Macaca mulatta: one gene and its partner. The protein of the gene in region 2 purifies or fractionates together with the protein of the main gene of each other region. This does not show direct contact. Links are inferred from orthologs where the notes say so. Each region holds a gene or a part of one and is shown on either strand. Other genes may lie near its edges.

What was found. Proteins that work in one complex are often made in the same cells at the same time.
Region 1: the proteins of PPP2R5D (region 2) and PPP2CB purify together in Homo sapiens (affinity purification with mass spectrometry; 8 studies listed by BioGRID and IntAct, counting the BioPlex papers as one, with this or other methods). This does not show direct contact. The link is inferred for Macaca mulatta from reciprocal best matches to the Homo sapiens genes PPP2R5D and PPP2CB.

Annotation. Positions count from the first base shown.
Region 1 is NC_133413.1:32,576,278-32,581,184, reverse strand, and holds part of PPP2CB (serine/threonine-protein phosphatase 2A catalytic subunit beta isoform), read left to right. Parts: intron 1-1,159; coding exon 1,160-1,278; intron 1,279-4,907.
Region 2 is NC_133409.1:139,114,878-139,118,541, forward strand, and holds the end of PPP2R5D (serine/threonine-protein phosphatase 2A 56 kDa regulatory subunit delta isoform), read right to left. Parts: intron 3,271-3,664; coding exon 3,169-3,270; intron 3,079-3,168; coding exon 3,006-3,078; intron 2,861-3,005; coding exon 2,744-2,860; intron 2,593-2,743; coding exon 2,455-2,592; 3' UTR 1,401-2,454; downstream 1-1,400. Other genes in the region: MEA1 (male-enhanced antigen 1), read left to right, coding at 354-631, 718-817, 1,122-1,273. UniProt on the Homo sapiens protein: The B regulatory subunit might modulate substrate selectivity and catalytic activity, and might also direct the localization of the catalytic enzyme to a particular subcellular compartment.

The sequences.
Region 1 (4,907 bases), on a different chromosome or scaffold from region 2:
CCACCTTGGGCAACATAGTGAGACCTCATCTCTATAAAAAAAAAAAAAAGTCAAAAAATTAGCTGGGCATGGTGGCATATGTCTATTGTCCCAGCTACTCGGGAGGCTGAGGTGAGAGGATAACTTGAAGCCAGGAGGTTGAGGCTGCAGTGAGCTGTGATCATACCACTGCACTCCAGCCTGGGCAAAAGAGTGAGACCTTCTCTCAAAAAAAAGAGGGGGGAAAAAAAAAAAAAAGACACTACAAACTAGAGGTAAGAGTTGGGAAATGGTATATTGGTATATCAAGTAATAAAAATATCAAAAATATAGCTAATAGGCTGGCGCGGTGGCTCGTGCCTGTATTCCCAGCACTTTGGGAGGCTGAGGCAGGCGGATTGCTGGAGCTCAGGAGTTCAAGACCAGCCTGGGCAACATAGTGAGATCCCGTCTCTACTAAAATACAAAAAAATAGACTGGTGTGGTGGCGTGCACCTGTTGTCCCAGCTACTCAGGGGGCTGAGGCAGGAGAATTGCTTGAACCCAGGAGGCGGAGGTTGCAGTGAGCCTAGATCATGTTACTGCACTCCAGCCTGAGCAACACGTGTGTGTGTGTGTATGTGTATACATATACACATACATGTATATGTATACACACACGTAACACTAATTAGCATGTATATATATACACACTATATCTAATACTAATTATAGCCAATAATATGAATGAGATAGGCTCAAATAAAAGGTGTTGTTAGAAATAAAGAGGTTATTGATGAAATCTGTCCCAGTTCTCTAGGAAGAAAGTATTCTAAATTTGTATTTACGTAGTAATAGCTTCAAAATATATAAAGAATAATTGGCATAATTCATGAGGGAAAATTGAGAGATTTATTAGGATTGTGGGAGAAATTCAGTACACATCCTTGCCAAGATTTCAAGCATAGTTAAGGCAAAACAACAATTAGCGAGCTGCATTTAACAGAATCCTAGGCCCACGAATTGCACAGGGTTCTGTACAGGTACACAAACTATCAAAGATGGCAACCTTATAAAGTAATATAGACGACTACATTTCCACAGAGAGTGCCTGTAGTTTTTGAGTTTAGTTTTTTTTTAATGTATCTGTGTCAAAATCATATTATTATAATGAAATATTGAATTTGTTTTTATCCTGCAGGGATACAATTGGTGTCATGATCGGAATGTGGTTACTATTTTCAGTGCACCCAATTACTGTTACCGTTGTGGGAACCAGGCTGCTATCATGGAATTAGATGACACTTTAAAATATTCCTTGTGAGTAACTGTAAATTTTAATTGTATATACTTACTTTCAGAAGGAAAATTTTAAATGTTAAAAATAGAAGATTTGTGTTTCTGAAATAGTGGGATGAGGAGTATAGCAAAGCCCCCAACCAGCAAAAACCACCATTAGCTGGAGAACATTACTTTTAAAAAATAATTTTTCAAAGCTTTTGGAAATTCTCCTAAGGGCATACAGCAGATGGATAAACAGTTAATTCAAGAAAACCTACTAAATCTCAATAATAGCCGTTGTCTGTGGCATTTGAGCTATGACTTGCTCCCTCCAACTCCTTCCAGATCCCTCTCACAGAAACGACTACAGGCGCTGTAGTCTGGGTTGGTACAGTCAGGAGGCCAAGGGATTCCCCCTTTTTACCAGCTCCCAGGGTTGGGACTGTGGTTTCACTCGCAGAGGTCAGATGCCAGCATATCTCACCTCTCCTAGTCTGGAGTTACAGAAGCTCTACTCTTGGTGGACGCAGTCAAGCAGGCTGAGGCCCCCTTCCCTGTCCCAGCTCCTGGGGCAGAAGCTCTGCTCCAAGCATGCATAGCAGATGAGAATGCTGGGTTTCCCAATGCTCTTACCCCAGCACCTGCTTGTAAACCAGGTGGTATCACTGAGCCCGCACTGGCACAGAAGTTCTGCAGGAGGAAAGGCAGGTCACAGAAATTCCTCAGTTCTTCCTCAGTGGACTTACCTTACTTAGGTGATGGAGATTTCCAAATCTGAGTGCTTTGTGGAAAACAGTGGATGTCATGATGGAGACCAATTAAGAGGGCTGTAATAGCTCCCATGATACTAGGAGCAACATACAAAAGAGCAGAGCAATAGGTTGTTCAACAAATAGCACCAGGGAAAAAGCCAAGAAGAGCCCTTCTGGGATCACAGTCAGCCCTGGGGGACAAGGCTGTGCACATGCACCAGCCATACCCACTCAGGAGCAGTCAGAGTAGGATGTGGGGTATTCAGATAATATTTTCAGGCCACACATAGATTGTACTGAGTTGAATAGTGTCCCCCCCGCCCCCGCAAATAATGCATGTCCACCCAGAACCTCAAAATGTGATGTTATTTGGAAATAGGATCTTTGCAGATATAATTATTACAGATGAAATTGTATTGGATTAGGGTGGGCCTAAATCCAATTCAAACGGGATTTTAGTAAGAGGAAAAGAAACACACACACGGGAGAATGCTGTGTGAAGCCAGAGATTTGAGTGATTCATCTACCAGCCAAGGATTGCCAGAGCCATCAGAAGCTAGGGAGAGGCTAGGAAGGATTTTTTCTAGAGTCTTCAGAGAGAGTGTGGTCCTGCCAGCACCTTGGTTTCAGACGTGTAGCCTCCAGAACCTCCAGAACTCTGAGAGGATAAATCCCTGTTGTATAAGCTGTACAGTTTGGTAATTTGTTACGGCAGCCCCAGGAAACGGATAAGTGGATTGATCAACAAATGGTGTAACCGTCACTGGTATATGAGGCTTAAACACAACCTCTAATCATTGACTGAACATTCAGTTACTCTGACCCAGGAGCACCTCCTAGGAAGTCAGGCTTTAAAATAAAATCACACTCATCCCTGACAGTCTGGCAGAATATGTGCATGCCCTCTCTGGACTAAGTGGAGAATGAAGATCCAACTATTAGTCCCTGACTGAATGGGAAGCTAAAATGTAAACTCCTTCAGCTTTGATAGCAATCTGCAAGTCACATAACATTTCCGGTGGTCATTAGGGTGGGCTTTAAGATCTTAACTGGCCAAGGGGGCTTAAGTCCAATCTTTGATCAGTAAGTGGCTTATGCCTACCCAGAGACAGCCTCTCAGTAGCCAGGCTGTGAAAGATTAAAAGAAGTAAAAACAGCCAGGCATGGTGACTCATGCCTGTATCCAGCACTTTGGGAGGCCGAGGTGGGCAGATCACCTGAGGTTGGGAGTTTGAGACCAGCCTGACCAACATGGAGAAACCCAGTCTCTACTAAAAATTAGCTGGGCATGGGGGCGCATGCCTGTAATCCCAGCTACTTGGGAGGCTGAGGTAGGAGAATCGCCTGAACCTGGGAGGTGGTGGTTGGAGGTTGTGGTGAGCTGAGATCACGCCACTGCACTCCAGCCTGGGCAACAAGAGCAAAACTCCGTCTCAAAAAAAAAAAAAGTAAAAACATCTGAGCAGAGCCACAGGGGCTGCACACTATGGGGGAAGTAGACTTTACAGTTAGTTCAGCTAAGTCACTAAAGAAAAATAATAAACCACCAAAAACACAAGATCAGTCCCCAGGGACATGAATTCCAGAGTTACTGCAATATATTATCTATAATGTCCAATTTTTCAACCACAGATTATAAGACATGGAAAGAACAAGAGAGTGTGACCTCTACACAAGAAAAAGCTAAGCAACAGAAACTGTTTCTCTTGGATAGAACAAGTAGGCAGGAGATGAAGGCAGTAGAAGACTTGAGCAACACTGTAAACTGACTGTATACCTCATGTCTATAAAACAACACCCAACAACAGCAGAATACATTCTTCTCAAGTAAACATGAAACATAGTCATATGCTAGACTATAAAACATGCCTCAGGCAATTTAAGAAGATTGGATTCTTACAAAGTATATTCTCTAAACACAAGGAAATGAAATTAGACATCATTAACATGGCTCGATGTTGTGGCTCACGCCAGTAATCCCAACACTTTGGGAGGCCAAAGTAGGAGAATCACTTGAGGCCAGCCTGGGCAACATAGGGAGACCCCGTCTCTACAAAAAAATTTAAAAATTAGCCAGGTATGGTGCCAAGCACCTGTAGTCTCAGCTGTGTGGGAGGCTGAGGTGGAGGATCACTTGAGCCCAGTTGATCAAGGCTGCAGTGAGCTGTGATCACGGCACTGCACTACAGCCTGGGCAACAGAGCAAGACCCCTGTCTCAGAAAGAGAAAAAGGTGGTTTAAAATCAGTAACCTGTGTTTATACTTGAGGACCTAGAAAAAGCAAAGTAAACTAAACCTGATCTAAACTTATGAAACGAGGTTTAGAGTGGAAATAAACAGTAGAAAATCATTAGAGAAAAAATCAACAAAACCCAAAGTTGATTCTTTGAAAGGCCTTAACTAGACTGGCAAGAAAAAAAGGAGTAAAGACTCAATTACCAAATCACTAGAGACCTTACTTAAATAAAAAGGATTATAAAGGAATATAATAAATAACTATATGCCAGCAAATTCAGTTACTTCGATAAAATGGACAGATTCCTAGAAAGAAACTACTGAAACTGACTCAAAGAATATGAAATCTGAATGACCTTTCAAATGTGAAAATATTGAGCCAGCATGGTGACTCACACCTGTAAATCTCAGCTGTGGGAGGCCAAGCTGAGAGGATTGCTTGAAACAAGGAGTTTGAGAACAGCCTGGACAACATAGCAGGACCTTGTCCCTATTTAATTTAAAAGAATATAAATAAATGAGTGAAAAAATTAAAGCTCCCTACAAATAAAAGGCCAGGCCCAATTGGCTTCACTGATGAAGTCCACCAAATGTTTAAAAAAGGAATTGGCCAGATGTGGTGGCTCTAACCAGTAATCCCAGCACTTTGGGAAGCCAAGGCAGGCAGATTGAGCCCAGGAT
Region 2 (3,664 bases):
GGTACGCCCTGTTTAGGGGGACTCTGATGACCCAGAGTTCCCAAGTCGCGGGGGAGGCGTGGCGGGGGAGCCGGGATTTTGGAAGGGGTGTCTTTTAGGAGGTGGCAGGGCCTCCAGTTGGGCGTTTAATTAGGAAGTGGCGGAGCAAGGCGGATGGGGCCTGGTTCAAGATAAGAGCCCCGACTAAGGGGGAGGAACGAGAGGCTGGAAGCGGGGCGGAGGGGTGGAGGATGCAGGAGCCTCGGGGAGGAGCTGGTTATTTTGCACACAGGAGACCACAAAGAGATGATGAGAGGATGAACATGGGCCTGGTTTCATCCAATCCTTGTCCTATCGCCTCCCTGTTCTTGCAGCCCCTGCCCGGATGGCAACAGTAGTTCTAGGGGGAGACACCATGGGCCCTGAGCGTATCTTCCCCAATCAGACTGAGGAACTGGGACCACATCAGGGCCCTTCAGAAGGCACTGGGGATTGGAGCAGTGAGGAGCCTGAGGAAGAGCAGGAAGAAACGGGGTCGGGCCCAGCTGGCTACTCCTACCAGCCCCTGAACCAAGATCCTGAACAAGAGGAGGTGGAACTGGCACCAGTGGGGGATGGAGATGTAGTTGCTGACATCCAGGATCGAATCCAGGTAGGGTGGAGGAGGGATGGTTCCTCAACAGGTGAAGCTGGGCTCCCTGAAAGCCTGGACCCAAACAGTCTTCTCTGGCTCTGCAGGCCCTGGGGCTTCATTTGCCAGACCCCCCATTAGAGAGTGAAGATGAAGATGAGGGAGCTACAGCGTTGAACAACCACAGCTCTATTCCCATGGACCCAGGTAAAAGATCATTCTTTCATTCTGGAATAATTACTAAGGAAATGAACTGGCATGAGTCAGTAGAAGGAAGTTTAAGAGGAAGACCCTATCCTAAAAAGATAGTTTGTAAACTAAGATTTTGTAGACTTCAGAGTCCAAGTGAAATGCTCTTCTGCTATCTTTGGGGATGGGCAGGCTTGCCTTGAAGTAACAAGATGGATTTGGTGACCCTACCAGCCCAAGGGCTCTGGGTTGATTCAGGGATTGGGGAGGGGAGCTGGTCCCATTATTTCTATACCTGAGTGGCCTCTGGCTCTGATTTCAGAACATGTAGAGCTGGTGAAAAGGACGATGGCTGGAGTAAGCCTGCCTGCGCCAGGGGTTCCTGCCTGGGCTCGGGAGATATCGGATGCCCAGTGGGAAGATGTGGTACAGAAAGCCCTCCAAGCCCGGCAGGCATCCCCTGCTTGGAAGTGACCACAGTGAGAGCTGCCTTATCTTCCTACATTCCAGGCCAGAACCAGCACAGGACTGAACACATCCCTGGTTGTAACGTCCATTTCCATCTTCCCCATCTCCCTTTCCACATCAAGGCACATCAGACTTCTCAGAGACCCACTTTATTCAGTTCTGTACATATGGGGACATCGGCCCAAGCCCAACCCACCTTAGCATGTATCACTCTGTGGAGAATAAAGCACCCTATGTACACAGCCAAAAGCCGCACTGCCTGCGCCCCTGGAACCTGGGTCCAGCCCTCCTCAGCCCCTGGCCCCTCCAAGGTACCTACAAGGGACAAGAGAAGGCCTGCCCAGCATAGCACAAACAAGGAAATAAATAGGTGTTGGCAGGAGCCATGCTTGGGGCACCGCTCCCTGCTTCCTTCTTTATAGTTTTGGGAACCAACAGCACAGAAAAGCAGTCAGCCCCAGGTGGTCCCTTCCATGTCTGTGACCCCAGGGCTGCTGCTCACCAAAGACAGGGCATGGGATAGGGTGTTTGTTCATCCCTCCCCGGCCACACTTGGTCCATCTGGGCCCTATATTCATCAGTTATTGTCCACAGCCTATGCTTTTCTCCTTTTGACCTCCCTTGGTCAGGCATGGGGTAAGAAAAAATAGTACAACCCTATCTGCCAGCACATGGCTGCGGCTGGGGGGCCTGTTTGTGCTGCAGGGGGTTGGCTTCCCTCCAGCTACTCCAGGGGCCAATGGGGCTTGACATAACTTTGGTGAGAATAATCTCTGCTGTTCCCTACATGCCTCTGCAGGGGAGAGAGAGGAGGGAAGACACCTGGCGTTCAAATGAGGATGAAGGGAAGAATAGAGGAGCATATGTATTCCTGTGTGTACTTCTCAGAGCAGCCTCAGGTAGCTGTGGGTGAGGATCAGGTAGGGGACAGGCATCCCCAGGTTGTCTGAGCCCTAAGCATCTTAGTGCTCAGCCTGTACTAGCCACAGGGAGGCATGAACACCTTTTGGGGAGAAGAGGGACCACTCTGTGGGTGTCCCTGCTTCAAGTGCCCGCATCCCCCTCCCTGGAGTAGCTAGAGAGGCGCTGCCTTCCCCCAAGTCAGCCAGTAGGGAGCAGAGTGTGGAGGGCCGGGGCAGTGTCCCAGGGCTGAGTGGGCTGTGGCCCTGTGGTAGGAATGTGAGGGGTCAGAGAGCCTCCTGGCTGGCAGTTAGAAACTCTTCCGCCCGCTTGTGCGCTTCCAGTGCCTTGATGGTGTACACGTCCTGGGGCAGCTCCGACTTCCTCCGCAGTAGCACTTTCTCCTTCTTGATGTCTTTTAGCATCTGTGTGTGAATAGGGACAAGGAGAGGAACGGTGACCAATTCCCAGTGAATTCTATTGTTTCCTCCCCTTATTCTTTGGCTGTGCTGTTTCTGTCTCCTCTCCCTTCCAGAACTATTATTTCTGCTCCACCCCGCTACATTGCCCTCCCACCTGCACAGCCTCAGTCTCCACAGTCCTCTTCAGAAGCTGGATGTCCTCAGCTGTGGGGGTCTCTGTCTCCATCGAATACACAGGGGGCAGTGGTGGAGGAGCTCGGAACATGGGATACTGAGTGAGAGGAGACATGGACAAGTGGTGAGAGCCACTTCAGAGGCTTGGAGGCCTGTGTGCCCCATATTCCTCCCCTAACAAACTCTCCCCAGCTCAAGATGGGCTGGCCCCTCGGTTCACAGCAGTGGCAGGAAAACTTCACCTGGGGATTAAGCCGGGCCAGCTCCTCAATTTTTTGCCACATCTCTTCCCTTTCCTTCATTCGGAACCGGCCCCTGAGGAGCAAAAGTAGGATTGGGTTTGGGCTTGAAACACAGTGAGCTGGTGGTAGAAGATGAAAGTCTCCCGGGGAGAGAGATACTCACTTCTGCTTCTCTGCCTTGTATTGTTGTGTGCAGTCATCAAACAGCTTCTGATTCATTTCCATAAACAGCTTCAGGGCATTGTAGATCAGTCCATGGATTGTCCTACCACCAGGAAGAAAGATGAGTAGGAGGCCAGAGCCTGCCCTTAGTGCGAGGAACTCAATTTGTTCTCTCACAGGGGTATCTCTGCTAAGAGCTTTGTCATTTACTATGTCCAGTTCACAAACCTCTATGCAGTATCAGAAGAGAACTCTGGCCAAATCACCTGGTTTGAGACTGGCATTTCATGGTCTTCACAAATATTGGTCCACGTGTCCATCCTTCCCTCACCCCATGCTCTTCACCCCATCCTTCCCTCACCCCTGCCTACCTCCCATCCTTTCCCACTCTCTAACCCATACTAATGGCCTCCCAGCAGCATGATGGGCATGTAGATGCAGCATGACGGACTGCATCTGCACCACAGTGTGCTTGCTTTTAGCAGAAAAGTCTTTTC